4 linked regions of the Astyanax mexicanus genome follow. The protein of the gene in region 4 purifies or fractionates together with the protein of the main gene of each other region. This does not show direct contact. Links are inferred from orthologs where the notes say so. Each region holds a gene or a part of one and is shown on either strand. Other genes may lie near its edges.

The links.
Region 1: the proteins of lmna (region 4) and parp1 purify together in Homo sapiens (affinity purification with western blotting; 3 studies listed by BioGRID, with this or other methods). This does not show direct contact. The link is inferred for Astyanax mexicanus from reciprocal best matches to the Homo sapiens genes LMNA and PARP1.
Region 2: the proteins of lmna (region 4) and hnrnpm fractionate together in Homo sapiens (co-fractionation; 3 studies listed by BioGRID, with this or other methods). This does not show direct contact. The link is inferred for Astyanax mexicanus from reciprocal best matches to the Homo sapiens genes LMNA and HNRNPM.
Region 3: the proteins of lmna (region 4) and histone H2AX purify together in Homo sapiens (affinity purification with mass spectrometry; 3 studies listed by BioGRID and IntAct, with this or other methods). This does not show direct contact. The link is inferred for Astyanax mexicanus from reciprocal best matches to the Homo sapiens genes LMNA and H2AX.

The regions. Positions count from the first base shown.
Region 1 is NC_064408.1:79,680,214-79,688,055, reverse strand, and holds the start of parp1 (poly [ADP-ribose] polymerase 1), read left to right. Parts: upstream 1-4,820; 5' UTR 4,821-4,932; coding exon 4,933-5,055; intron 5,056-6,029; coding exon 6,030-6,192; intron 6,193-6,747; coding exon 6,748-6,863; intron 6,864-6,990; coding exon 6,991-7,205; intron 7,206-7,213; exon of another isoform or gene 7,214-7,613; coding exon of another isoform or gene 7,614-7,842. Other genes in the region: adenosine receptor A2a-like, read right to left, coding at 7,614-7,842. UniProt on the Homo sapiens protein: Poly-ADP-ribosyltransferase that mediates poly-ADP-ribosylation of proteins and plays a key role in DNA repair.
Region 2 is NC_064423.1:14,799,202-14,806,050, forward strand, and holds the start of hnrnpm (heterogeneous nuclear ribonucleoprotein M), read left to right. Parts: upstream 1-3,849; 5' UTR 3,850-4,015; coding exon 4,016-4,053; intron 4,054-5,902; coding exon 5,903-6,075; intron 6,076-6,849. UniProt on the Homo sapiens protein: Pre-mRNA binding protein in vivo, binds avidly to poly(G) and poly(U) RNA homopolymers in vitro. Involved in splicing.
Region 3 is NC_064408.1:15,369,016-15,374,942, reverse strand, and holds histone H2AX, read right to left. Parts: upstream 1,241-5,927; 5' UTR 1,145-1,240; coding exon 716-1,144; 3' UTR 513-715; downstream 1-512. Other genes in the region: phospholipid transfer protein C2CD2L, read right to left, coding at 5,298-5,551. UniProt on the Homo sapiens protein: Variant histone H2A which replaces conventional H2A in a subset of nucleosomes. Nucleosomes wrap and compact DNA into chromatin, limiting DNA accessibility to the cellular machineries which require DNA as a template.
Region 4 is NC_064413.1:40,511,609-40,518,882, forward strand, and holds the start of lmna (lamin), read right to left. Parts: upstream 3,014-7,274; 5' UTR 2,905-3,013; intron 1-2,904.

The sequences.
Region 1 (7,842 bases), on a different chromosome or scaffold from region 4:
AGCACAAATTCATAAATTATTTCATCCAGCCACTGCTACTCCACCTTTATGTCAAAGATACATTTAACACGACATATCCACTCCCCTCCTACTTTTTTCTTTCCTGAAAGTTTCATTGGCTATTGTGGTCCTGACATCACATGATCATTCTGGGGTAATAAACATACGTCAATAGAATAAAACAAATCTCTATTGTTTAGCTAAGCATAATTTCACAATTTCCTAAAAATAAGCTTGTGTGGAAAATAAAAATATAATGTGACACAACAAAACAAAACAAAAAATTACCATGCACAAGTTCTTGACTACTTATTTTTTTTAAGTAGGCATCAGTATCTGTATCTAAATACTTGATATCTATGCATCCCTAGTGATTTATGTATAGAATATGTTTTGTATATTATATGGACATATTTTATGTTATATTTCTTGTTATAGATTGAAACTTGAGGAAGGCAAGGATTAACCAGACTGTAGATTTTGAAAGGATTAATGCCACATCTTGTGTTTACTGTGTACTCATACGACAGCATAAAGGACCATCACAGATTCTTCCAAGAAATGCGACAATCCAAAGGTCCATTCATGTCATGGAGATGTTAACCATAATGTTTGTGGGTGATAACAGGTTGAGAATGTTAAACTTTTCAACAAAAAAAAAAACAACATTTCTGCTGAACTGTTGATGAAAGGCATTACACTGACATGGCAGGAACTAGTTTAGTGTCCCATGACTTTTGCCATGTCCCATAAAAAGTTAAGGAATGCTGAACTGACCAGCAGCATGTGTGTCTGGGGCCTCCTGCATTAAATGTGTATGTTCACTCTGACAATTCTAGCCAGACACCACAGCGCTGTCCACTGTGGGTGGTGATGCCTTCTATATCATATTCCTGATACACATTTGACACTGTGGATTGAGGAATGTCACACACTCAGAAATGGATTGTCACATCCGTTTGACACCTAATACAAGACCTTGCTCCAAACTCTGGTAATTTATATCACATTGTTATGAGCACACTGGCCAATTGCCTCACTCACAAGATAATACCACACAAATCATACAGGTGTGGGTGTTCCCAAGCAACGCTTCATGATCATTTTAAATTCTGCTATCCTATGACTTGTGGCATGTACGTGTAATAGGCTGTCTGACTCACCTAGGCTGCCAATACAGCCTCAGATTTTTCCTAGATTTTTGAACATTGCTGTGAGGATTTTTTGCGTGTGTTTAGACATTTGCATACACAGTGATCTGTGCAAGCAAAGCCAAAAGATTTAATATTAATTCTGTGTCAAATGCATATTTTTGCTTCCTCATTTAAGAGAATATCCACTTGATGGCAATGGCAGTCTGAAATACCTCTCTCCTCAGATACATACTGTATATTTACATTGTCAATATTAATATTGTAAATATTTTATATGGAACATATTAAGCACATTTTATCATTATCATAGTACATGTAGAATACCATAACATGTTTGCAAAAGATCATTTTTAAATACAATCTTGTTAAGTAAATGTAAGGTGAGGCGAGATAAATGATAGGAACCCCTTTCCTTTATACAGAAATAAGGAAATTGCTGCTGTAATTACTGTAAAGTCTTCAAACTGTAATGTTTGACCAATACTGTATGTAATGCTCATTCAAATTGTTTTAGTATTAGATCTTTGTCATTTTCTTAATCAATTTTTATGCATTCTTGTGCAGTGAATTTCAGTTGACTGGATACACTCTTATAAAAGGGGTTCATCAATGGTTCCTTAGTAAAATAATTGATTCTTTATAGAACAACTCTCCATGGACATGACCACAAGAAACATTTGAATGCTTAAGTGGGTTTTTGGTAGTGTAGAGTTTTCTTCACAGTGATGGAAAATCAAAAAAATATCCACTATAATTATAAATTAAAGAACTATTTTGATAAGAGTGTAAACAAATCACACGTCTTCATTTACTCAAATTTACTGGACTAAAAGATTCTCTGGCTGAGACCAATTAAAAAAAAACATAGTGATATTACTTTATTTTGACTTTTGACTCTGTTTTATGTTACTATGTTTAATGCAGTTTTGTAATGTTCATCATTTTTAAACGTCAGTGTCAAAATGCAGCAGCCATATTTATCTTGCCTTGGAGTAGAAACTTATGAACAGTGAATGGATAATTTCTCTGTAGATTCCTGTATATTCTCAGACCATCAGCAGCACCCATGTTTATCAGGACTGCATGCCTTCCTCTAAAGTCGCTGTTATAATCAATGCTGTAATTACTTACCCATTCCAATAGTTTATTTTCTACTGAACTGCTGGTGCAATCTGTGACAAATTCTATGTTCAAACTGGCAATGTATCATCTAATTATCACATAATAAAATATGTTACATAATGAAAAAAAAAATGCTTTTGCTCATTAAGACTGCTGCAAAGTGTAAACATACCCTATACACCATGAATTCAATCCATGCTTATCATCTCTTATCATCTCATCATTGCTGCACACTATGACAGTTCCTGAAAATTATATTATAAATATTTAAACCCTGTGGATTTATCTTGCAATGATTTACAGCTGTTGCCCTTAAACAGTCAAGTGAATTAGCTGTCTAATATTTCTTTGTAATAAGTGTCCAGAAATCTATCAGTCACTGGAGGTTAACCTACTTTATGTGGAAAAAAATGTATCTATTTATCAGGATCCCACAGAACTACCACACGGCAAGTATCAATTGGGTGATGGATCATTCTCAGCACTGCAGTGACACTTGCACGGTGATGGCAAAGTTGATCAGACACAGCAGTGCTGCTGGTGTTATTAAACGCCTCAGTTTTATTGCTGCACTGACAGGCCTATAATTGAAGAATAGGGTGAAAAGAGATAATAAAGTATACAGACAAACAGGAGGACTAGAGTCTATATTATTCAATATATATTATATAGAGTCTATAATTACACTATTTAGCACTGTAAAACACAAAACGTAATATTGTTCTCTTTAATCAAAATTATAAGCCAACTAAACAAGAAATAATGAATGGCGCCATAAAATATAGCAAACTAACTGCCTTAACTAACATTATCAAGTTTCTTGTTAGAAGTTCGCCTAAGTAAATCATTTGTGTTGGAAACTTTACAAATTGTAATAGTTGAAAACTACTTGAGGCCAAGCCAACTACTCTGCACACCTGATGTTGTTTGCATATTCGGCGTATCCTTCCACCTCTCACTCACTATCAGTGTGTAGTCATTCTCTAAAAGGTGTCTTTTCTTGGAATTTATATGTATATATTTATATGTGTTTTATCGTAGTTAACTGCCTGGTCTCAGTTAATGACATATACATAACAGTCATAAATTCTCAGTTGCCAACTTAAATTCACAAAAGTATTGTGCTCCTTATGTTTGTTGGATTTATGATAAAATATGTGATTGACACAAGTTAATTGTTCTAGTTGATCTTAAAGGATAGTCAGCACGTTTTATAGAATCTAAATCAGGCCAACTAACAGAACAAATTGAATTTTTAAGTTGGTGAGTCTTAATAATAAAGTTTTTTATGCATATAAAAAAGATTATCTGAACTAAAGATTTCTAGATTTCTTTTTTCAAAACTTAAAAGTTTGAGTTCAGAAAACTCCAGAGAACTCGAACGTCCCAACTAAGCTTCCATAATATATTTGCACTGTAGTAAAATGCTTTCATTTTTAATGTGCATTTATGTACCATCCTTCTCCTTTACTTGCAGAAACAATGCTGTGCGTCGATCACCTGGCCAGTGTTTTTTAACCAGTCGGCCGCCGCCCCCCAGTGGGACGTTGAGGTACTGCAAGAGGGTCGCAGGTCAAAATGAATATATATTTATTTATTTTGCAAAGTAAAAATTCTTCCAATATATAGGTAATTCAGAAAATGTAAAGTAAGATGTAGCAGAAATTTATTCAATTTACAAAACATGTTTAGGTCGAGCTCGTTGATGGTTTCATGGAGTAAATTATTAATACAGTTTTTGGGACAAGAAAATAATGAAGCTGCAACATCTACAAGTGCAAGCATAAATTAAACCAAGAAAAAACAAGAAAAGCAAACATAAATTAAAATTAACAAATATAATAGGCTCCATGTTCACAGGAACCAAATAAAAGAAAGCAAATAAAATATGATTAAAGGTTTTGCGGTGCATACACACATATTTTAGGAATGCCAACATTATTAAAATATTGGAAAAACATGCAAAATAAAAAAAGCCTAAATCTAGAATTCCTATTAGAACCATTATGCTTTATTTTGACAAATTATACCAGAGGAAGTAACATAGAAACCAGATATTAATAGCAAGAATTCTTCTTTTGATTGCTAAGTAAATTAGTTGATAGTGGAAAACAAATAACATAATGGAGGGAAGGGGATAATGATTTGTATTTAATGAAAAACATGCTAACCTACAAAAAACTACAATTAAAAACTGAAAAAAAAAAATTTATAAAACAAAAAAAATATTTCTGACAAAATAGCGCCCAGTTTTTCAGTTATTATACACGTAATGTATGTATTTACTTTTTTCTGTACTCTTAGATATAGCTGCATTTTTTCTTCCTTAAGGAATTGTATAAGGGCTTTAAAATAAGACATATTATACCTGTATTGTCCTTAAAGCACAAATGTTAAACAAAAAAATATGTTAAAAAGTTTTGCGGCGGGTTACCCTGACACAGAGGACAGAATCACTTACATGCGCTTCAGATCCACGGCGGTGTGGGGGTGCTGGGGCTGACCCGCCTCTGTGACTCTGAGCTCGATTAGCGGTGTCTGAAACCCTCATTGTGTTGGTGTCGATTGGTGAGGTCTGGTATTCTGCGCGGGCTGGGATTGTTCAGTGTTCACTCTGAAGCCGCTGTTTGTGTTTTTGCACAGTTGAATATTGGAGATGGCCGATGCGCAGGACGACAAGCGGTACAAAGCTGAATATGCGAAGAGCGGGCGAGCCTCCTGTAAGAAATGCAAGGACAACATCGCTAAGGACTCTCTGAGGATGGCCATCATGGTGCAGGTACGGAGCGCTGCACGCCGTGCAGGAGGAGCCGGAGCCGGGGTTTAAACAGTGTCTGAAACACGGGTTTAAAACCCCGATTAGTGTAGTTAATTAATTATCCCGGGCCTGTCTCTGAACTCACCACATTCACCACAGGGCCAGCCAGACTCTCCGCCTCATTTAACGTCTTATTGAGAATGAATTTTATACCGTTCCACCTTAAACGTTGCCCGGTAACACTGTGGGCCCACAGGCGGCAGCGTGTAGCTGATACGCCATTTAAGGTGGAACCGAAAATCACAATAACAAGCATGAGAAAGAGGAACCAGCAGCTCGAGCTGTTCCAGGCCTGAGTCAGTCCCGCTGCATGAGGCGCTGCAACTGGCTGCCTATCAGCTAAATAAAGGGATGGATGTTTATTCTAGTTACTGCTTTAACACAAAAACACTCCTAATGGAAAATACATTTACAACATGTTACCAAAGTATTGTACACTCAGTCTCCTTCAGAAAAAGGATATTTGACCATACCATTTTTCATTTTAAATTATTTTACATTCACTGCTTTTAAGTTGTGTGTTTTATTTTATATTAAGTGTAGTTCCACAGGTTTAAAGCACTGCAAAGGAAACAAAGGAATTCAGAGATTTAGTGAGAACTTAACTACAGGAACTCTGCTTTGTGTACAGTGGGGGTGTACAGCTTTATAGCATGTTAACATACTGTAAAATACTGTATAACAGATCAACAGTGAGCCTACACAAGCCTGTATTTACTCTTGTTGTTAACTATTATCTTGAGCATTTATTTCTACATAAAGTTTTATTTATGTATTTAAAATACAAATGCATTTTCTGGTGCTTTGTTTGTTTATGATGGTAAGTTGTCTGTTTATGTCCAAATAATAAAGTGTTTGTAAGTGGTCATTTGTCTCAACTTCTTTGGTTGCAGAAGTGATGAATGAAATTAAGGTTTTTGTGTTTTACTCCACAGTCGCCCATGTTTGATGGAAAAGTTCCACACTGGCATCATTTCTCCTGCTTTTGGCATCGAGCTGCAGTGCAGGCGACCTCAGACATATCTGGCTTTACCGATCTCCGCTGGGAGGACCAGGAGAAGGTGAAAAAAGCGATTGAAGGTGGAGGCGCTCCTGGAGGTAATTGTATTTTATTATTTAGATAAATAAGACAAAGCACAATCTTACCAAACGAGCAGTATAACATGTTCAGTTAGTTAGAGGGTGTCATAGTAATTCGGGGAAAAAGAGGAGAATTTTGCTTGAACAGCAGTGTTTTTAACACCACACAAAAAGAGTGTTGATCAGCTCCATTTACTTTTAAGTCCACCACCTTCCATAGAAGAGAAGCTGCATCTCTGGTTGAAGATTCTAGATTTAGTACATTTAGCCAAACATTCTTGCTCAGAGAGATGTCTGTTATGAAGCTCCAGTAAAGCGTCACAGCACCTGATGTTTCTGTCCCATCTGAACCTTGTAACTGAGATTCCACTTTAAAAATGATCAGATCAGATGTATGAACATTTGGGAGGATGTTTTTTTAAATTCAGCTATACATACATATATATATATATATATATGTATATATATGTATATATACAGGAAAATAAACTCTCGGAAGTGGACATGGTCTGAATAAGTTGTATACTGGGCAGTGGTATAGATCATTGTTTCTGTATCTTTTAATTCTCTCAGCAAAAAGTGATCAGAAAGGAGCCGCTAAAGGAGAGAAGACGCTTAATGACTTTGCAGTGGAATATGCTAAATCCAACAGAAGCACCTGCAAGGGCTGCGATCAGAAAATTGAGAAGGTACATTACTGATGCCTTTATATATTATTGTTTTAGCAGGTCATGACTATATTTGAGTTTTCATTAATGTAACCCTGCTGAAATTAAGAATTGGTTAAAACATTTTTACGACTTTGCTATACTTCAGGATCAGATTCGTGTGTCAAAGAAAACAGTGGACCCCGAAAAGCCTCAGTTGGGCCTAATCGATCGCTGGTACCACACAAGTTGCTTTGTGAGCCGGCGTGAGGAGCTGGTCTTTAAACCTGAGTACAGTGCAGCTCAGCTTAAAGGCTTTGCTGCCCTACGAGCCGAGGACAAGGACGAGCTGAAGAAACGACTGCCTGCTGTTAAGACTGAAGGGTGAGTGTCAGCCTGTATACTAATCATAGTGTCTTATGCAAAATACAAATACACTTTAACAATTGTATTGTTGTTTTTGTAATGTAAAGTACAGTTCAGTTTTATTTGTATTGAAATCATTGCAGAAAAGTTGTTTTTTTTCTCTGCACAGTCACACTTTTCATTCAGTTTTTTTTCCAAAATATGATTGTATGCATATTATTTTAGTTCCCATGACTTTGCCTGTAACTTTTGTAAGCCCTATTATGCAGTGTAGCAAGCAGTTCAGTAACTGGGAATGACATATGTTCTGCTTGAATGTTAAAACGTTTTTAAGCCTAAACAAAATCATGAATCATGTTTGAGAAGTTATAGTTATTACAGGAAAAATTAACTGCCTCAGGATGTTTGTGTGTTTGTACCTCCACCCTAATCCTCTCCATCTCTGACACCTCTGAAGCACAGGAAGATTCCCTTGAAGGCTTCTCTGAAACTCTTCATCTTGTAGGCATAGAGGAACGGGTTGACAGCTGAGTTAGCATGGGAGAGGATGATGGCAGTGAGCAGCAAGGGCAGGGGCACAGGGCAGGTTGGGCACAGTAGCAGAAAGCAGTTGATCACATGCAGCGGGATCCAGCAGACAGTGAAGAGGAAGAGG
Region 2 (6,849 bases), on a different chromosome or scaffold from region 4:
TTAGACTTCTGCATGATGTGCAAAACAGTACCACCAACCATCAGAGCTAACTTTTAAAGGGAAACCTCATGTTGGATTGATTCGGATGCATATTGTATCTTCATGATTGATTCTAGGCCTCCTCCTCCTCCTAAAGGCTTTATGGACCTCTTGACCAAAGCAAGCAAGGCCTATATGCAGTTCATGAGGGACCATGTCTAATGGAAGAACACTTTTCGGTCCCTGCTCTAAAAGCTTGGTAGCTTGGTATCTTGTTACGTTGAAGATGTCTGTCACTGATATTTACCCTGATCTGCTCTCCTTTGACCAGAGATGGACTGTGTAGAATTGTGGAGGTCCAGAGAAAATGAAACGTCCAGGAATTAACACTAACATTTCGGACGTGATTTGTAAATGTGTATAGTCTGTGGAAGCCACTCAAGATGCATACAGTCCAGGTGTGAATGATGTGTGTAGTATGTATGTATGTATGTTTTATGTATGTTTGTATGTCTGTATCTCTCCTCTCACAAGTAGAGGTTCTACCAAGGGTCCTTTGATTGATGCCTTAGATTTATGGCATTATTAGTTTCATAAAGGAGATGAGAGATAGGGAAAACATTTTAAATGTTTAAAGGGTTATTTACCTATTTAAAATGTTCGTCATACTCAATTTCAGCCTCTTTTATGAATATGGTTCTTTATGAAACGAAGGATGATTTTTCTCTAGTGACTGTTAGGAAACATGGATGCTGGGCACAGAAATGCTGAACTTAAGATTCCTGAGAACCACAAGTTTAAATAACGCACCGGCATCTGTTGGCTGATGTAGTGAAGCTGAGTATTCAGTGCTTTCCTCAGAGCAAATTGGGTGCCAAGTAATTTCTAATGAGTCATGCAGTTATCCTCATTTTTCTATAATGTTCTAACTATTGCCGGCAATGGGGAAGTCTTGTGTCTGGTGAAGTTTTTGGGTAAAATGGTTTAAATAGAACAAAAAAACAGTGGGTTATGCTATAGGTCCAATAAAAATTGTAGTGTAGAAATTAAAGCAAAATATTCAGACTTGTGTACTTTTTTCTTTAGTAAGTTTACACAGAAGTTTAAATGTATAAATATCACTTAAATTCGCAGAAAGAGCATGTTGCAGATGACTGGTGTCAATTCCTGAATTCCAAAGTGTAACCCTGCCTTTTTTAAAATTATTTCTGTATAAAAAATGTGCCAGTGTTGGCACAGAAAAAAAAAAACAAAGCTGTGGTGGCTTCACTTTTGAGATGCATTGTGCTGTCCATGTTTTCTACAGTCATTGGGTTTTTCTACGGCATCTCTCAAAGAACCTCTCTTTCTAGCACCTAAATTATTACATTTTTGAGGGTGTGAGAGTCTGTCTGAGTGTGTGTTGGTGTGTGTGTATGTTGGATGTAAATCTTCTAATCGACTGCTGTGCTGGTTGGATTAATACGTACTACAGATGGCTGGCCTGACCTCAGACCAGTCTGAGCAGCAGTTGACTTGTGCTGTGCCACATATGAATGAGTTGAAACCAAGACATAAAAAAAAGGTGCTCGCTTCCGTAGATGAGGTAAAAAAAAAAAAAAAAAAAAGATAATGTAAAAAACCTATAATGTAAATCAAGACCCTTCACCTTTTCATAGTCCTGTTAGCACTGGTCACCTCCTCCACACCAGCGCAGTAAAAGTCACCTGCAGTTTATTGTTTACTTTTCAGCTGTGAAGTGTCACTCAACACTCTAAATCAATCCTCTCCTCTGACATTGGTGTATTTCGGAATAACGGCGTGCAATAGATATACTACAAGCTTTTGACATTTAATTGTAATTTTACTTTTTATTTTATTTTTCGGAATGATACATGTTGGCAAAAACTCCTGTGTGTTTTTATAATCATACCTTTTGCAGACGAAATTGCACTTCTAATGCCGAACACAGCAGAACTGCTCTCAGATCAGCAGCTAAGTGCATTTTCACCTGCTCTGAGTAACACTATTTTATTGGTGTGCCTCCATCTAACATATTTGCCTTTTCCTTTTCCTTCTGGGACATGTCCTGTTTTTTTTTTTTTTTTTTTTTGCAATGTGGGGTGATAAAAAAAATGAATAAAAAAAAGCTAGAGTGCAATTTCAATAATATTACAATGCAATTCTTACCTATAACCTTAACAGTACACATAAGATTATTATTCCTATATAGATGTATATGAAGGATTATAGGACTACATTCACACAAGAAAAGGAAAACAGTGTTGGATTTTTTTTTTTAATTATAAATACTCCCATGTTTAATAGTTCCCTCCACTATGCAATCCTGCAAGTATAGTTAAGAGTTAAGCAGCTGAGAGGGTACTGCTTTAACATGAATACAGCTGACCCAATCTGTCTTCTTTTCACCTAAGAAACATGCATGCATTTATTGTATTATTACTATTATTTTTATGTTTTTTTGTTTAGCCATATTGCACTTTCACAGATTTGTGATTGGAAATGGTTTGCTCTTGCCTTTTCCATATTATACATTTCAGAGGGATTAAAAAAAGTAAAATAAAAAGCGCTCAAAGATTCTATCAATCTCTGGATTTGGACTAATCATATTTAAGACCAATCATGTTCTTTTTTTTCTCTCTCTAAGAAAAAATGATAAGCAATTGTAAACATTGTACACAGTTTGTTTTTTGTTTTATTTTAATGTTGTTGTGTTTTAATGTATTCATGTATCATTTGCAATGGATGTCTTCATTTACTCATCCAGCACGGGGTTTTATCACTCAAACCCATTTCTGAGAAACTGTATGTTTATGTAGTGCAGTGGATAAAGAAAGGTGTGTCTGTATTGTCCTCACCAAAATATGTTGGTGCTTGCAATCAGCCAAGAAAAGTGTGCAAAGCAAATTAAAAATGATGCTCTGGACTCGTTAACCACCCTGACTCTGTTTCATCATCATCTTCCTGATCTCTTTTAGAGTAGACATTAACATTTTGCTAAGGTATAGTCTGAATAAATAGAAAGTAAGATGTGTTTAATTAATTTGAATTTTAAAGTAGAGCTCCCTCAATGCAAATCAGAAACAACTGATTTTATTCCGAACTGATGCAGTGACTGATACTTTCTATCAACCAGTACAAGACTACATATTTTAGTCAAATCTCAACACTTAAAAAATAAAAGCCATAATGAAACGACAGCATTAGTTAGCTCTTTATAAAGGGTTTATAAATAGTTTATAAAGGACTTTTTTTAAAAGTTTTCAATTTTTTTTTTTTTTTTTTTACTATTTAATGTTTTATTGGATTCAAAGTATTTGCTATATACAGGAAAATAGCACATTAATCAATATCAACAAACAAACCAAAGATAATGAGCACCAGTGCACTAAAAGATTTTATGAAAAAAAGAAATAAAGCAATAAATACAGAAGTTTAAGAAATTTTACACAGTTACATGTAAATCAGATTAAATAAATCTTCTGCCTTGTCCTCATTTAATAGTATAATTTATATTTTGCGTTAAAAGTATAGGACTTTCGTTCCATCAAAACTTTTTTCATTAAATTGTTTCTTCATCCAGTTAAAGCATGTGGCTGTATAAAATACTAATGGTTTCTTTATAAAACTGTAAACAACACTTTAAATCAGACTTTGTTACTTTTACTACGTTACTTCCTCCATGCTGTGAATGCGCTTTTAAAATGTTAATTTATTCCCACCCGTATTCAGACAAGCGCCCTGTTTATTGGACAGATTAAGCGTCATTCACACATCACTGAGAGCTGTCAGCCAATCACAGAGTGGTATGCTGAACCCTGCGCGTGGAGCAGAAGGCGGGTTTAACCCTAAAACGGGTGTGCCACGGTTCACAAATATCCATTTCGCTGCCCTTCTGCCGCCATTTCGTCCACCTCGACCGAGCTGCAGAAAAAGGAGGAGAACTGCGCCGTTACAGCAAGCGAGCCGCTTTTCTGAGAGTTCAGAAGATTTCTGTGTTTAATTTTCTGTCGGAAAAGGAGAAGAAAAGCTGAAGATGTCGGCTGAAGGTGTAGCGGAGAAACAAGGCCAGGGGTAACGAACGCTACAGCTAATTTAGCTAACCCAGCTAACTAACCTGTGATTCTTTATTTATTTAATTAGCGATAGCATTAACTAGCTACGTAAACACAGTAAATGAATTGCTAGCTGAGATTTATCTCAAATATTTACGCTAGCTATGCTATGTAGCCTAGCTAACATTTAATTTCTGTTTTGTAAGCTTGTGCACGACTCCAAGACAACCTTAGCAACCATTGCTAACAAAGCCAGGCGAGGGCCCGCATTTGAATGCGTGCGCACTGTTCTAAACCTCGTAGCTTTAGAAAAAACTCTAAATACAGTTTTATCAGCAGTTTATTCAAGCTTAACATTAGCTACATGTAACTACGTTTATTGTATACGTTAAAATCATGGTAAGAAGTGAGTTAGCAACATTTTATGAACTGCGCGATATGAGCTAGTCGGATGGTTAGCTTCAGAATAAAGGCCCCCAGCCATGCCCCCGGATTCTGTTAGCTTGGTAGCTAACAAGTTTAGCCAACCTAGATTAGTTAGCTAAGTAACCGGCTATCTTATGTTACGCTTTTTCAGTGTTTGTTGCTCCAATAGGTCAAAATAAAACGTTACACTGTGCCTTGGACGATGTGACCAGTCATGTAACCAAACTAAACTAATAGCGTTTAGCTAAATTGTAAGTTACAGGAAGCAGCGTTAGCTAATGAGGTCCTGAAAAAGTTCCGCTGTTTGAACTTAAATTGTTAATCTAACTAAAGCTAATTGCACGACAAATGAAAACAGAACTATGTTAAATAACATGCATACCTCACTTTCATGCATATCTACTTAAATTCTGGAATTTTAAAGGCCAAATGTTAGTTAACTAGTGCTACAGTAAACCCAAACAGCTAGTTACGTTACCGTATAAAAAGCCACCTGTAATGTTGCATATTAATTGGTAGTTGGGATTTTAAAACTTCAAAAGTAACTTATAACCTAATTAACATGTTTAAGCTAAATTAGCTATCTTCTGTTGTGTAAGCTTACGCAAGCGTTAAAAACAGTAACGTGAGCTAAGCTAAATTGCTAACAAAGCCAGTCGAGGACCCGCATTGAATCTGTGCACTCTGTTCTAAACCACTTAACGTACCTATAGCCAAATCTATCACTCACATAGAACAAAATAAGCAGCTAAGCTAGCTTAACCCAGCTCATTTGTACTGGAAGTAGATAATGATTACGCTGAAAATATCTGAACCATTAAGTTAATTAATTAATCTAGCTTACTGCATGCCCAAAAGAGGGCAGGACTACATAGCGGCATACCTTTTAAATTAACCTTTCAGAATTTAACTAATAGATATGCATTAAAGTTTATGGTTCGTGGTCATGATCTTTTGTTCTCTTGTCAATTGGCTGAGCCTCTTTTAGAGCATGTTTGCACACATTAGCTGCATCTAAAAGGTACGAGTAATTGTGGGTTGAATAAAGTGTAAACTCATAACTTGTTTTACTTTTAATATTTTTTTTTTATGAATAGCTGATCCAACCTATTAAAAAAAAAAAAAAAAAAAAAAAGAGCCCAGGTGGTTTTCTCTGATTGAGCACAGGGGCTCCACTGTAGGGATTCAGGATTTTGCTGGTCAGTTATGTTTTGCATGTAGTGAAGCAAAACAAAAATTGTCAAGATATTTGTCTTGAAATATAATAAAGATCAAGTAAATAGAAACACTTAAGCAAAGTACAGATACATAAATTTATAAATACCCTAAAACTAAATTTTATATATGCTGCCCATTTATGTTTGTAAATGCTATTGTCTTCATTATTGCTGTAAAATGTACTTTTTTGCTTAAAGTTAATTTATTGTTTTCTTCTCTTTTAGAAATGCGGTAAATGGAAAGGCCGGCCATGAACCCAGGAAGGAAAGGTCATCAAAGCGTGGAGGGGGTAGATTTGAGCCCTATGGCAACCCTGCCAAGAGATACCGTGTGTTCGTGAGCAACATTCCCTATGATGTGAAGTGGCAGGCACTGAAAGACCTTATGAAAGACAAAGGTAAGTTTCAGCTGTTCAAGGTAGAGAGTTGTCGTTTTAGTTTGGGGGACTAGGCCCCCTTTTGCTTTCTAGATTTTGGAAAAAAAATTGGAAACTGAGGTGGTCTTAAACTATTGTTAGTAGCAAGCACTGTAGACCGGCAGATCTATATCTAAATCTCTGTCGGATATTGCTTTCAAATGGAAGGCTGTTGTGTAGCAGTGCAGTTCAAGCAGCATTTGCGGTTGCAGTGGGGTAGTGCCTTAAATTCCATTCTGGAAGTAATGGCACTCTAAGTGATGTGCAAGGCTTGGAGAGTTTGCTCTGAGCTTTGAGGTTTTGTTACCTATTCTTCTAAATGACTGGGGAAATCTTTCATATTGTTCTTTTGAGTTTTAAGATGAGTGAGCAAAAATGCATTCAAAATTCAGCCGTGCCTTGTTTGGCTGTTTTTACTTAAAATGGCACTATAGTATTTGGTGAATTTCTTGCTTAAAGACTAGGCTGTTAAACTGTGTGTGAATATATTTAGGGTGGAGTCAATACCCCAAGAGCAAGTTCTGTTGCAGAAAAGATTTAGTTACGATCTGTAGGCTATTGCACAAATAAATGCCTTGACCATTCTTCATAGCCTATGGTGTGCAAGCATGAGGAATATCTTTCGTGTCATTGTGGAAATTGCTGCTTGCAGAATTAAATTGCATTCTCTGTTTTTTAGGTATACCAGAATGAATGTGTTCACAGCAGATCTTCATATTGTACCCTTGACTGGAAGCGTGTTAGTTTTGTTGGGGT
Region 3 (5,927 bases), on a different chromosome or scaffold from region 4:
TTTACAACTTGTCCCTAACTTGAGAGCTTACTTACATTAAGACAATAAATTACAGCTACACTAGTTTTCAGACTGTGCGTCAGCATGCAGGCAGATTCACAATGAATTCGGTAACGTTATTAATATTTAGATTAAAATCTAATGATCTTATTTATAATTAATCATGGGTTTTTTTCACCACTTTTGCACTACAATTTATAGGTTAACGTTATCTAGTTGGAGAGCTTACAGTTTCTAATGTACAAGGAGCTGGATGATCATTAAATAACAGATTTACATGCTTTGTTAGCCAACTTAAGCCTGTATTAAAGCGATCCTTGCGTCAAATTAAGACATTTAGTTTAGTCACAGTACAACACTTTCAGATTCTAGTTTAGCAGAGAGGCTATGCTATCAGCTAGCGCCAAACGGCACGTTGCACAGTAGCTAGCTAGTTAGCAAACCTAGCTAAACAAAAAATGAATGAAACAAGTTTTGGCTACAAGGATGTCCAGAAAAAAAACCCCAAATAATTTCAAGTTAGACATGTTTATTTTCACCGTATAAAAAGCACACAGACAGACACACCCACACAAGACTGATGATGGAAATAGAAGGTAAAGGAGGTTAAAGTCAGAGTGAAATCTGCTCTTTTTCAGAGGAGATGGGTGGCCCTTAAAAGGGCCTTTGGTTTTTTAGGTGTTATCAAGTCAGAGTTCGCGCCATTTCTGTTGAGTTAATATTCTTGGGACTGTGAGGACCCCTTCTTTCCCGCCTTGCTGGAGCTCGCGGCGGCCTGGCCGGTCTTCTTGGGCAGGAGCACGGCCTGGATGTTGGGCAGGACGCCCCCCTGAGCGATGGTCACGCGGCCAAGCAGCTTGTTCAGCTCCTCGTCGTTACGGACGGCGAGCTGGAGGTGGCGGGGGATGATGCGGGTCTTCTTGTTGTCACGGGCGGCGTTTCCGGCCAACTCCAGGATCTCAGCGGTCAGGTACTCGAGCACAGCGGCCAGATACACCGGGGCTCCGGCGCCCACTCGCTCAGCGTAGTTACCCTTCCGCAGAAGACGGTGCACACGGCCGACGGGGAACTGCAGGCCGGCCCTGGAGCTGCGGGTCTTGGACTTGGCGCGGGCTTTTCCTCCGGTCTTTCCTCTTCCAGACATGTTGATAAGTTCTTCGCTTACTTCTTTAAGCTTCAGAAGAAAAAAATCGGTGTTTGGTTGTGGGGTTGGACTTGCTGCAGTATTTAAGGACAGGCCTCAACGGGCGCTTAGGCCCGCCCCTACCTTCCCATTCGTCAAACTCGCACCGAGAGCGGACGGATTGGCTCGTGTGATCAAAGCCTGACAGGATGTTTTCGCTCATTGGCTGAAAACCGCTGTGCATAATCAGCGCAAAGTAAAACACCAATCAGAGCGTTACGGTTCAATCTTGCACTCTGGTTGGGCGGCGAAGTTTAACTGTGCTACCATTGGTCTCTCCCGCTGTCCATCAACTTTGAGCGGAAAATTCAAACCAATTGTACGTATTCCCTCTGAATTTTAAGTCGAGGTATTTTGGCGGAAAGTCAACAAAGGCATTTTTATATTGTAAAAGTATTCAGAATGATGAGAAACATCTGGTTTAAGTTTAACTCATCCTATATATTATATATTTATTAGATTTTTTTTAGATTCAATATCAACTAATATACTAATATCCATCCACTTCTTGAACTTTAAAAATGTTTTTTTAATGAAGAAATAAGGAGCAGAAAGCATATTTATATTATTTATAACCCCACATCAAAGTCAATGTGCCACCATCTGGTTATTAAAAATTAAGGATGTACATTAAAATGTACTGCTTTAAACTATATCAAATATATGACATAACCAATTAATATAAGATATATATTTATTCAATTTTTTATTAAATACAAAAGCTAATATGCATGTATGTCTATATGTATTAATGTTCTTGGCCTTTTAAAAATACTTATTTTCTGCAATCCTCATCACATGAATATTACAAAAAAGCAGGCCGTATATTAAGTTTACTTATATGTCAAATATATTAAATAAGTCATATAAAATGTTAAAAATATATTTATTTTATTTTTTGGTTCAATACAAAAGCTAAGATCCATAAACTTTAATGTAAAAATACTTTTTTTAAATATTTTTTTTATAAAAAGTCAAAATGGCTTGTGTGTGTGTCTGTGTAAATGAGAGAAGTGGGGGTAGGGGAGAGAGAAACAGGGAGAAAGAGGGGGGTATATGGACAGAGAGATAGAGAGAGGGGGATGGGGATATAGTGAGAAAAAAAGGTATAAAGAGGAGGCAGTAGTACTTCCTGCTCTGCATATTTTTTACTGCAGTCAAAATTCCACCACAAAGTATATTAAAAAAAAAACAATGCATATTTAGTGCACTGTATAAAAAAGAGCTTAGTATCAATACTTTTCCTATCAGGACCAGTTTTTAGAAACAAACATATATAACGTCTAAAGACTTTTATTGGTGTGTTGTGTTAGCTCAGCCAAGAAATCAAACTCTGGTATAACATGAAATTCATTGTTAAACACAACACTACACTACATCAATCCATCTCTATTGCAAGAAAAATAATGAATGAAGGCCTGTTCCCTATTTTTTTGGACAGCCATGCAACTTTTTTTTTATAGTAACTAAAGAACTATATGTCAGTGTGATAGCTCAAACTAATACAATATATATTGTTTATTTTAAAATTTTACACCTTTATTAACAAGGCAAGTCTTAGAACTTATTTTCAGTGGCAGATTGGAAGAAAATAAACCAGAGACAAGTGCATTTTCAAAAATAATTTATTCAGAATAAATTAAACATTGAAGTAGCCACATAGTAATATAAAGCATCAAATATCTGAGAGGCATTGTTTCTCTTTAGGCGGCTCACTGTTTTCATAGACAATGACATTCTGGGCCTACTAGCAGTGTAATGTTGGGGTCTTCAGGCTTTCCAGGCTTTTTGGGGAAAAGGGATAAAAGACTGGAGAAAGAGTAGAGGATCCCACCTGTAAATGTTCAGCTGAAAATTGCTAATTTACAAACAACCCTCTGAAAATAATGAATGCACTGCAATATAGACTGTGTGTGCCTGAAGCCATTGTCTGGAAGATTTAAGGAAGTCATTTAAGGAGTCAAAAAGAAGACAATGATGACTTTATTGGCCTGGATAAGAAACAAACAGCTTACAGGTCAAAATCAACCAGCTTTCACCATCAAACACCACAGCACTGTATTTATACACTGGAATTCCACTGATGTTTCTACATGTTTTGTCCTATTTTACCATTAAGATGTAAGCAAACTGTGTCAGCGTGGTTTGGTGTGAACTGATATTTGGTGTGAACTGATAATGATCATTCTATATTAATTTATTGAGTCAGAATTGTTCATAATTGTAGTGAATAAACCTGGGCATCCAAAGTATTTAATGCCTCCAAGTAGACCTTTCACAATAATTACATTTTCAGCTCATTGTATAATATATGGACATAACTTTGAGTATTTTTGTTTTCCTGATATCGCCCAATATGTTTTTCTTAACACGTAGAGCCCATTAACCTGAATGATTTAATTTTGTTTGTTGGGAAATATGCTGTTCTAGAGAAATTTCCACAGTGGTGGTGAATGGCTTTCAAAATGTCCCTCAAAGCTCCATAATAAAAAAGATATCACAATTTTTAAACCACGCTTTTGGCCTAAACATATATTATATTTTTTATATATGCATTAATTTAGTTGTTAAGATTATTTTTGGATTTTTTTTTATAGTAAGATTCTCTGGAATAATACTCATCACAATAAACCACTCCAACTGAGCATTAACACCTTAAAACTGAATTATGCAAAAATGTTGAAACATCAGTGAACCATCCATCAAGCTGTGGTCTTTGAGTGGTCAGATAATTTCCCTTTGAATAGCCAAAGCCATGAGAAGCTGAATTAAGCTGCCGTCCTTCACCTATTTATGTTCTTATGCAAAATCGAAGGTGAAACTTTTAAAACGTAAACGTTAGCACTATTATTTACACGTTCAGGTCTGCTCATCTATGCATGCAGGGGACCCCATTCATTCAGGGTAGTCTGAGTTATCTTATTGCAGCTAAATATTAAAGAAATATAAAGTGTGGGCTTGTCCGAGCTTCGAGTAGTCTTGAAAAAATTTTATATATTTAATTTTGTGGAAACCGTTCATGATATCCCCTGAGGTGTTTTTTTTTCAACCTGAAATACATTTCCAACCTACTGTAACTTTAACTAGACATGATTTAAAGACGTGTTGATTATCAGTTTTAGAAATGTTTAAGAAGAATAAACATATCTGAGTTAAATTTGTCTATTTTTCCATTTCTGTTCCACTCAAGCGTAACTGTGAGATATGCGTACTACTCGTGTATTTCTTTAACAAATGAATATAATAAAAGAAGAAGGTGCCACAATGTAAATCAAAGAAGAACCACAATTTGAAAAAAACAGGGCTTAAATATCTGTTGATCTAACTCGCTATCAACTACAGCAAAAACAACAAAGCACACAGCATAAGCCTCACCATAATTCACCCACTGAAGACTCCTTGGTTTGGTAAGGAGGAATAATTTAGTGTCAGTGACAGTAAACAATACACAAAAATAATAAAACTGATGAAGAAGATCTCCCCACCACTGTAAACAATCAGAAAAGAGTTTCAAAAGTGTGCAACTGATGAAAATTAAATAAATAGTAATCATAGTAAAAAACAAACAAAACAAACAAACGAATAGCAACATAATGCGGGAGGCTTTCTGATAAGTATTGGTTTATGTCGCCCCCTTGTGCTGAACAAGTCTTACAGCATTTTACTCAACCACTATTTCTCAACTCACCCACCTCCTCTCCTCCACTTAAGCAGCCATTTTAAGTCTCTTATTTAACATTATACATTACACAATCAAAAGGTGTTTTCAGAAGAACACAAATAAATCCCTTTATCCCCCCCCCATTTTTCTTTGCGATTCCAGCACTAAACAAAACGTGAGGCATCTACCTCACTCTCATAAAGCAGCGTCTGCTGTTTGCGTCAAATACCTACGTACAACGAACACAAAGGGTCAAAAATATTCCCAGCGTGTCCCAAAAGTCTCTGTAGGATAAAGTTGTTCAAGAAGCACAATTTTCCTTTTGTTCCAAATGAACTGTTCCAAATGCTCTAGCTGCCCCTAAACTCTTTCGACAGGCGCCCGCACCGTGTCTCTCTCTCTCTTTCTCTCTTTAGTGTTTTTCTCTCTTTTTTTGATTTCACAGCCCATGCCTCAGTTGTCTCCCGTGCTGGCTCCTCCATTGGTGGCGCTACTTTTTCCCTTGGTTTTGGATGATCGGAAGGAGAAGCGCTTGATGAGCCGACGTGAAAAGCTTCCAGATTTCTTGCGGCCGCTGGAGGAGCAGGAGGCCGTGGACGAGTCGTTGCCCAGGTTGCAGACGTCCTCGTGGGACTGGCTAAAGCTGGGGTCTTTCTGCCTGTGCCTCCTGCGGAACAGCAGCTTAGTGCCGCTGCGGAGGAAGCCCACTGTAAGCAAATTAAGAGACAGAAAGTGAAGGTTCATACAGACACACAGATCTACACTTATTCCTAGTAGATTGCCTGCACTGGACTTACTAGAATATTTTTGGTGCCATAGCTGTACTAATCCAGTACATACAACAGTCCCAGTTTTGATGGCAAGTGTGCGTATATACTTATATAAGAACAGAAAATGAAAATTAGAAATTAGAAGTGTTGATATATACCTAATAAATATAGAATTGTACTCAAAACTGTACTGTGACTTCACTATAAATTCAAGGACTAAAATACTTTAACAATAAAATTTTAAGACTACGAAACTTGCACTTAGTTAGATTAACTTTCTAGTAGGCCAAATTAATAGTTTTCAGGGGCCAGT
Region 4 (7,274 bases):
AAAAGAGTATGTGAAAATGCCCCCTCAACTGCCCTATAAAAAGGTTCCAAGAGGGTATTTTTGGGCAGTGTACCTCTTGGCGAGAGATAATTGGCTGCTAGATAATGGACTTCTTGCAGCCACTTATGCTACTGATGGCAGGGCCTTCAATTGGGATTTTCAAGAAGATAATGTTTGACCACATACAACCAGCGTTTCCCAGGAATACCTTTAAAAGATTGTAACACTTCCTTTGCCTGCCTGGCCATCAGATTTTGGAATTCATAAGACCAGCTGTGATGTTTGCTTCAATAAAAATGTGCAGGATCTACAGGCCCAGCTGCAACATATGCTGACAAATATGCCACAGTATGACATATGGAAAGTGTATGCCTCCATGCCCGAGTTTTTACTGAGCTTACTTGTACATCCTTTCCCAAAAATGTATAATGAAAGCTTTAAAAGGCCATACATGCTTTTACATGCTATTTTAGGTCAATTCAATCTGATATCTTCATGAATAATCAAAAAAATCTGCAGGCAAAAAAAAAAAAGAAAAAGATAAAAATAATAATGATGATGATGATGATGATGATGAAGATGATGATAATGATGATGACAGGCCTAGGCCGGCAGTGGGCAGTCCTAGTCTGGCAGTGGGCTACAGTCGGCCCTCTAATGTTAGGGAGTGTCTTCCCGGCAGGGCTGACTCATTGGAAAAGTATCATCAGAACACAAGCCCTCTGAGAACCATGCCTACCAGCAGCACAAACACACACACAAACGTCTCTGTTCTCCAGCAGTCACAGGACGGCTTTTCCTCCAGCCTCCCAGCACCCACTACATTCCTCTCTACAATGAGGACGATTCCCCTGAGGAAATCCTTCCCAAACCACTGCCTGCATAGTGTATTCTGGATGTGAGCTAGTAAGCAGCAAAACTTTCCTAAATATAACACATGCAACTGCCTAGATTTTACATTTATAACATAACTAACATAAGAGCTCAGATTTAAAACTAAAAATATCCAATGCTACAAGACCTAACAGGCATCATCATCATAATAATACAGTACAGTATAGTACAGTATAGGGCTGTAAGATTAATGATATTTTTTATGATTATTGCAGTACAAGTTTAAATTGTAATTTTATCACTTCATCCACAAGGTCATTCAACCCGTCCATGAGAGAGCAAGACAAATTGTTGTCTCATGGACTGCTAATTTCAAGCAGCGTGATAAAGGATTCAAACAGGTGATCCTCAGAAAAAACTTTGAGGAGCTTCAACAAATTTAGGATCTTAATTTGTCATGTTTCGACATTAATATCAGGTTATCCAGCAGCATTATAGTACATCACATTTCTGTAAGTACAGTCTTTTGCAAATTATGATGTAGAATCATTGCAATTACAGGAGCAGCCTGGAGGCTTTATCATCCCCATCTAAAACAACATAATTCAGTGCAGTAAAACACTGGATTTCAGTAGAAATACAACAAACATTGGATCTGTCTTCTTGTTATTTAAAAAAACATACATTTTTTTATATACACATTGTTTTGGTGTTATAAACAATATTGTAATTATGGTTTTTATCATATGATTTTGCATCATATAAGCTCTATTTGTCTAAAGCATTTTCTAAAAATGCACTCCTTATATCCATTATAGTTAAATAAAGTAAAATAAATTATACTGGACAGATATAATCTGTCTCTAGTAGATATATAATGGGACATGAGTAGTGTGAATTTTAAATTAGCTACAAACAGCAAAAAAAAGTTGTACCCTGATGACTTATACGACCATAAAATAAGATTACACTATTTCTGGATGCACTTTGGCAAGATTATTGCATATGGTACAATATGGCACACCACTAGTGCTGGATTACAACTTTTTTTTGCATTATCTCAATAAAACAACATAATTCAGTGCAGTTATAAGAATAAGAATAAGTCCTATGGTAAGTACTGAGTCTTGTGTTTATTATTTTAAAAATGTTACTTTTTAACTTACACAGACAGATGTTTACTAACTGAATATATAGCAAGATTTATTATTAAAAATGAAGGCTGATTTTTTTTTTTACATTACACGTTTTAGCAGATTTATCAGATAAATTATACCATATCGTACATTGCCATTGACATTTACTATCTAAAAGCATATCGAGATATGAGATTTTTTTTTATCATATTGCCCAGCCCTACTTCTTAACAGTTTCATAAATTAGCCCTAACCTACACAACACAGGTAAACACAGGTAAACACAGAGCAGCACAGAGACTCAGATTTACACACAGATTTGTACAAATGATTAGAGAATGAGTGAGGAGAGAAGGATGGACAATGCGAGTCTGGTTATATGGTTTATATATAAAGTTATATATAAAAGCAGTGTGTAAGACTGGTGGAGGAGAACATGCCAAGATGCATGAAATCTGAGATTAAAAAACAGAATATTTTTCACCAAATATTGATTTCTGAACTCTTAAAACTTTATAAATATGAAATGTCTTCTTTGCATTGTTTGAGGTCTGAAATCTCTGCATCTTTTTTGTTATTTCGGCTATTTCTCATGTTCTGCAATGCAATGCAAATGCTCTAAATGACAATATTTTTATTTGGAATTTGGGAGAAATGTTGTCCGTAGTTTATAGAAGCAAACAACAATGTTTATGTTGCTCAATCATATACCTATAAATAGAAAAGAAGGTGGTCTGTATATATGCTGTATATATGCTATTTCTCGGGAAGGGCGAGCTCACAGTTTTGTTGCAATAGCAAACGGCTGAGTCACGGACTGACTACACAAACATTTACACCAAAGAACTGCAGCGTTTCTGGAGGAACACAGCCTGAAACACAAAGGAGTTAACCCTTCATTAGAGAGTAGGAATGAGAGAAAGCAGTGACTCACGGGTTCTGTGTCTCTAAACGCTGAAAACTCTGACAGCGAGGAATCTGCTGCCTGCCTCATGCCTCTCTCTCCACAGCCCCTCCGTCTGACTGACTGACAGAGCCGGCAGCGCCCCGCAGCGGATCATTACAACAACTGCAGCTGAACAGAGCTGAGCTTAATATTAAGATTAAATGACAAATATGTATATGTATGCCTTAGGGGTGGGCGATATGGCTCTAAAATGATATTTTTGCGATAACGATATAGGAAAACTAAAATATGAGGAATATATAATAATATATAATATAATAGGAATATAGTATAATAGTATAACAGTATAATCATAATGTGGCAAAATAAATAATATAGCATAAAATAATATAATGCAGCAAATCATATTGCAGAATATTTAGTGCATGCATATAAACTGCAAACTAAAACAATTATACAATAAATACACCTAAAGCTTCACAGTAAATAATAGACTACTTTTAAGACAGAAGATCTCTATTATCACGATATGGATTTTTAATATCATGATATTTCTGTGTCACGATATATTGTATACGATATAATATTGCCCACCCCTATTATGCCTTACACCTAACGATTTTCAAACGATTTTTCAGTCGCAGACAAATTTCCAGAGTCGGAATAAAATCACGAGAGTCTGGCTAGAGTCGAGCTGCAGTCGAGTCGTGGTCGAGTCATCTCGACCGTTCAGTGTAAAAGGTGGTTACAACTAAAAGTTATAGTCAGTCGAGTTCGCGTCCCAGCGCTCCGATAAAGTCAACCGTATTTTATATTTTATATTTATTTTTTAACCGTGTTTAATATTACCGCAAGTCTTGAGACTCGGCTCGCGCAAATAGTGACGTGAACAATGTCAACAACCAATAGGAGAGCTACGGGAAGAGGCAAGAAATTATGTCACGTGACTGTTTAGAAACCAGTTAAAAAAGAACACATTTTGCAGTTAATAAGTCTTATATGGTTCCTACTTTAATATATACATTATTTTAAACACAGGTATCATTTCAAAGTAATAATATTAAAGATTTTTTTTATTTTGCACCAGTTTGTCTTATTGTGCAGTGTTATTTTCAATACAACCAAGTTTAATAAATACACGTTTTGCAAGAATTAATTTTTTCACATTTAAGCTGAGTGCGGAGTCTAAAATCTAAAATCGGGGAGTTAAGATACCTATTAAGGAAACATGCTAAGTTTCTCTTGACATCAGTACTTCAACCAGAATGTTTCTTTCATTATCTATTAATAAAACTAATTAGTAAAAAAAAAAAAAACACTATTCCACAGCAGTACAATCAAATGAATACTGCAGTAATTTAACCTCCACATTTACCCAATGAACACTCAGGAGTAAAGCATAATATATTTAAAACATATTTTGGATATTTTGCCAAAACTATTACAATTATACATCTTAACTCAAAGTAACTTAAAGACTAATATGTCATATTATGGAATAAAAGTAATATAATAATAGATAAGTCAAACTGCTATAATAAAAAAGTAGAATGCACTAATTGTGGGTTCTGTACCAATATCTTAATCAGCCGAAGTGTGGAGCTGATACATACTTATGTTTTTAAAACGTAAAGAATTAAAATGTTTTCATAAAAAAAAAAATTACACATTGATGTAGGTGGCGAGTTATGCATAATGCTGTGTCATATTCATGTTAAATCCGCATTATTTACTTTATCACTTTAATAAACCACATTATTATTTTAATATCAGTGACAACTCTATATCATTTAAAAGAACTTCATGTTAGCATGTCATTCTTAACAGGGTGACTCAAGGTGCTAATAACCATTTCTATCTGTGAGTAGAGCTCCAGATCAAGAAATACCAATTATTGCATAATGTTGCTTTAAGTACAATAAAAAAGTATATTCTCTAGGTCGTCCTCAGACGAGCCTTCCATCGTTTCTTCCAGTCATCCCGATTCCCCATACATCTTTTCAATTCACTGGTACTCTGGGCTTCTGCGTCCTTCTTGAGTACGTCCACATAGGTTAGTGTGGGACGTCCTCTTGAGCGGCTCCCATGTGTCGGTTCCCATAGCACCAGTTTGCTGGCTGGCAATTCCTGGTGCCTATGGCAGTGTCCTGCAAGTCTCATTCGCCTTACCGCAATTTTCTCGCTCACTCTTGGTATTTCCTCGTACAGGGTTTGGTTGGTTACATGTGCATCATTGCAGATGTTAAGTACTGCACGCAGCATCCTGGTGTAACACCCATCAAGGGACTTCTCCAGAGTTGGCTTAAGTGTCCAGCATTCGCTGCCATAGAGGAGAACAGACTCTACTGTTGCATAGAAGAAGCACAGTTTTATTTGACGAGGGAGACTGGAGTTCCATACACTGGCCATACCGTTCAGAGCCCTCCATGCAAGTGCCTTCCTTAATTTTAGGTCTTGCTCAGTTGAATTGACCCATGAGCCCAGGTACTTGAAGTCATCAACTTCATTCAGCACAGTGCCTCCTGCTGTAATCAGGGGCAGATGTTCAGGCGGGATGTTGTAGGTAATGACCTCAGTTTTCTTCGCGTTTAACCTGAGGCCAACCTTAGCGCACTCTAGTTCTACTCTGCTCAGTAGAATTTGTGCTTGCTCCACGTTGTCAGAGAGCAAACTGATGTCATCCGCAAAATCAAGGTCTGTGAGGACCACTGCGGGGTATCGACTTGACTTCCTTGGAGATAGTGTGAAGCCAAGTTCCTGTTCCCTCCCATTAATTGCCTTCCTGAGCGCATAATCGAGTACTATGATGAAGAGGAAGGGGGCCAATGTGTCCCCCTGCATAACTCCAGCCAGGATGTCAAATTCCTCGCTGTTGCCGTCTGGGGTCACCACCTTGGCCCTTGTTCCTGCATACATGGACTCTATTGCTCGGAGTAGATTTGGGGGAATACTGTATGCCTTGAGGATCTTCACCATCATGCCTCGGTGTATTGAGTCAAATGCCTTTTTGAAGTCCATAAAGCATAGTACTGCTGTCAGGTTGTTCTTTTTCACCTCCTCAATCATTCTCCTTAGTGCCAGGATCTGGGATGTAGTGGTGCGTCTCTCTCGAAACCCGTTCTGGTTCTTCCTCAGAAGAGGGTCAATTGCCTGCCGGACCCTGTTTAGGATCATACGGTTGTAAACTTTTGCAATAGTGCATGTCAGGCTGATGCCCCGATAGTTGTCCGGCTTCGATAGGTCTCCAGACTTAGGCACTGGCACGATGTTTGATAAAGACCACGTATCAGGCAGCCGATTGTGCAGCAGGGCAAGGTTGCAAAACTCTAAAATGATGTCATCCATGTCGCAGTTCCTCAGCACCTCTGGGGGTATACCATCCGGACCAGCACTCTTTCCTGCTTTTACGGTGGTTTTTGCCCTGGCAAGCTCTCCGAGTGTGAAGGGGCCGTCATTGATGTTAAGGTTTGGGAGGACTGATTGTACTTCTTCCTCAGTTGCTTCTGATGGTTCTCTTTTTTTATTCTAGCAATTTGACATTTATTATTATATTAATTTTATTATATAATAGGATGTAATTACAAAATACATGTTAAAGTACATTTTAGTACACTGAACTATTATTGACTATTATTATTGGAAAAAAAGGTGATTGTTTACAGAAAAGTTAAATATTAAATATTAATAACATTTATATTCAGACATTTCATATAGTTAGTGAATTCAGCTACTTTAATGCCAAGTGACAGCCAAACCAGTATAAAACCCTGTGGAACTGGGCTGTGGAAAAGTACAACTACATTCTTTGAAACAAATAACTTCATCTAATACCTTTGGGATGAGGTGGAGTAGTGTTTCTAATCATCTAAAATTAGAAACAAACTGTGTGACCTGTTTAATGCTCTTGCTGCTGCACTTAAATCCACACAGCAATGTTCCTACATCTACTGTATAGTCTTTCCAGAAGACTAGAGGCTTTTACTTCAGTAAAAGAAGCACAGCTTCCTATAAATAGCCTTGATTTCAGAGAAAACACTGGACAAGCAGTCCAAAAAGGGTATACATCAGGGAGTAGCATGCAAGCCCAGAGTGTACAATATGAGAATCACTGGACGTAGTGTGGAAAAACCCTCTCTAAAGCTTTGTTGGTGTAATTTAATCTATATCAGTATAAGATAAACAATATAAGTGCTTCTCCAGCACCTGTGGAGACTCTTTCCTACAATCTAAAGCCACTTTGTCAAACACTGTCCTGCTGAATTGTATCGTGAACAGCTGAGAACAACAGAGCAGCTCTGTTTAAACATCCTTCCACCTGCTCCATAGAAAATGAAGTGTATAATAACGACAGGTAACACAAGAGAAAGGCTGATAAACACACAATGTTTCATTTGCAG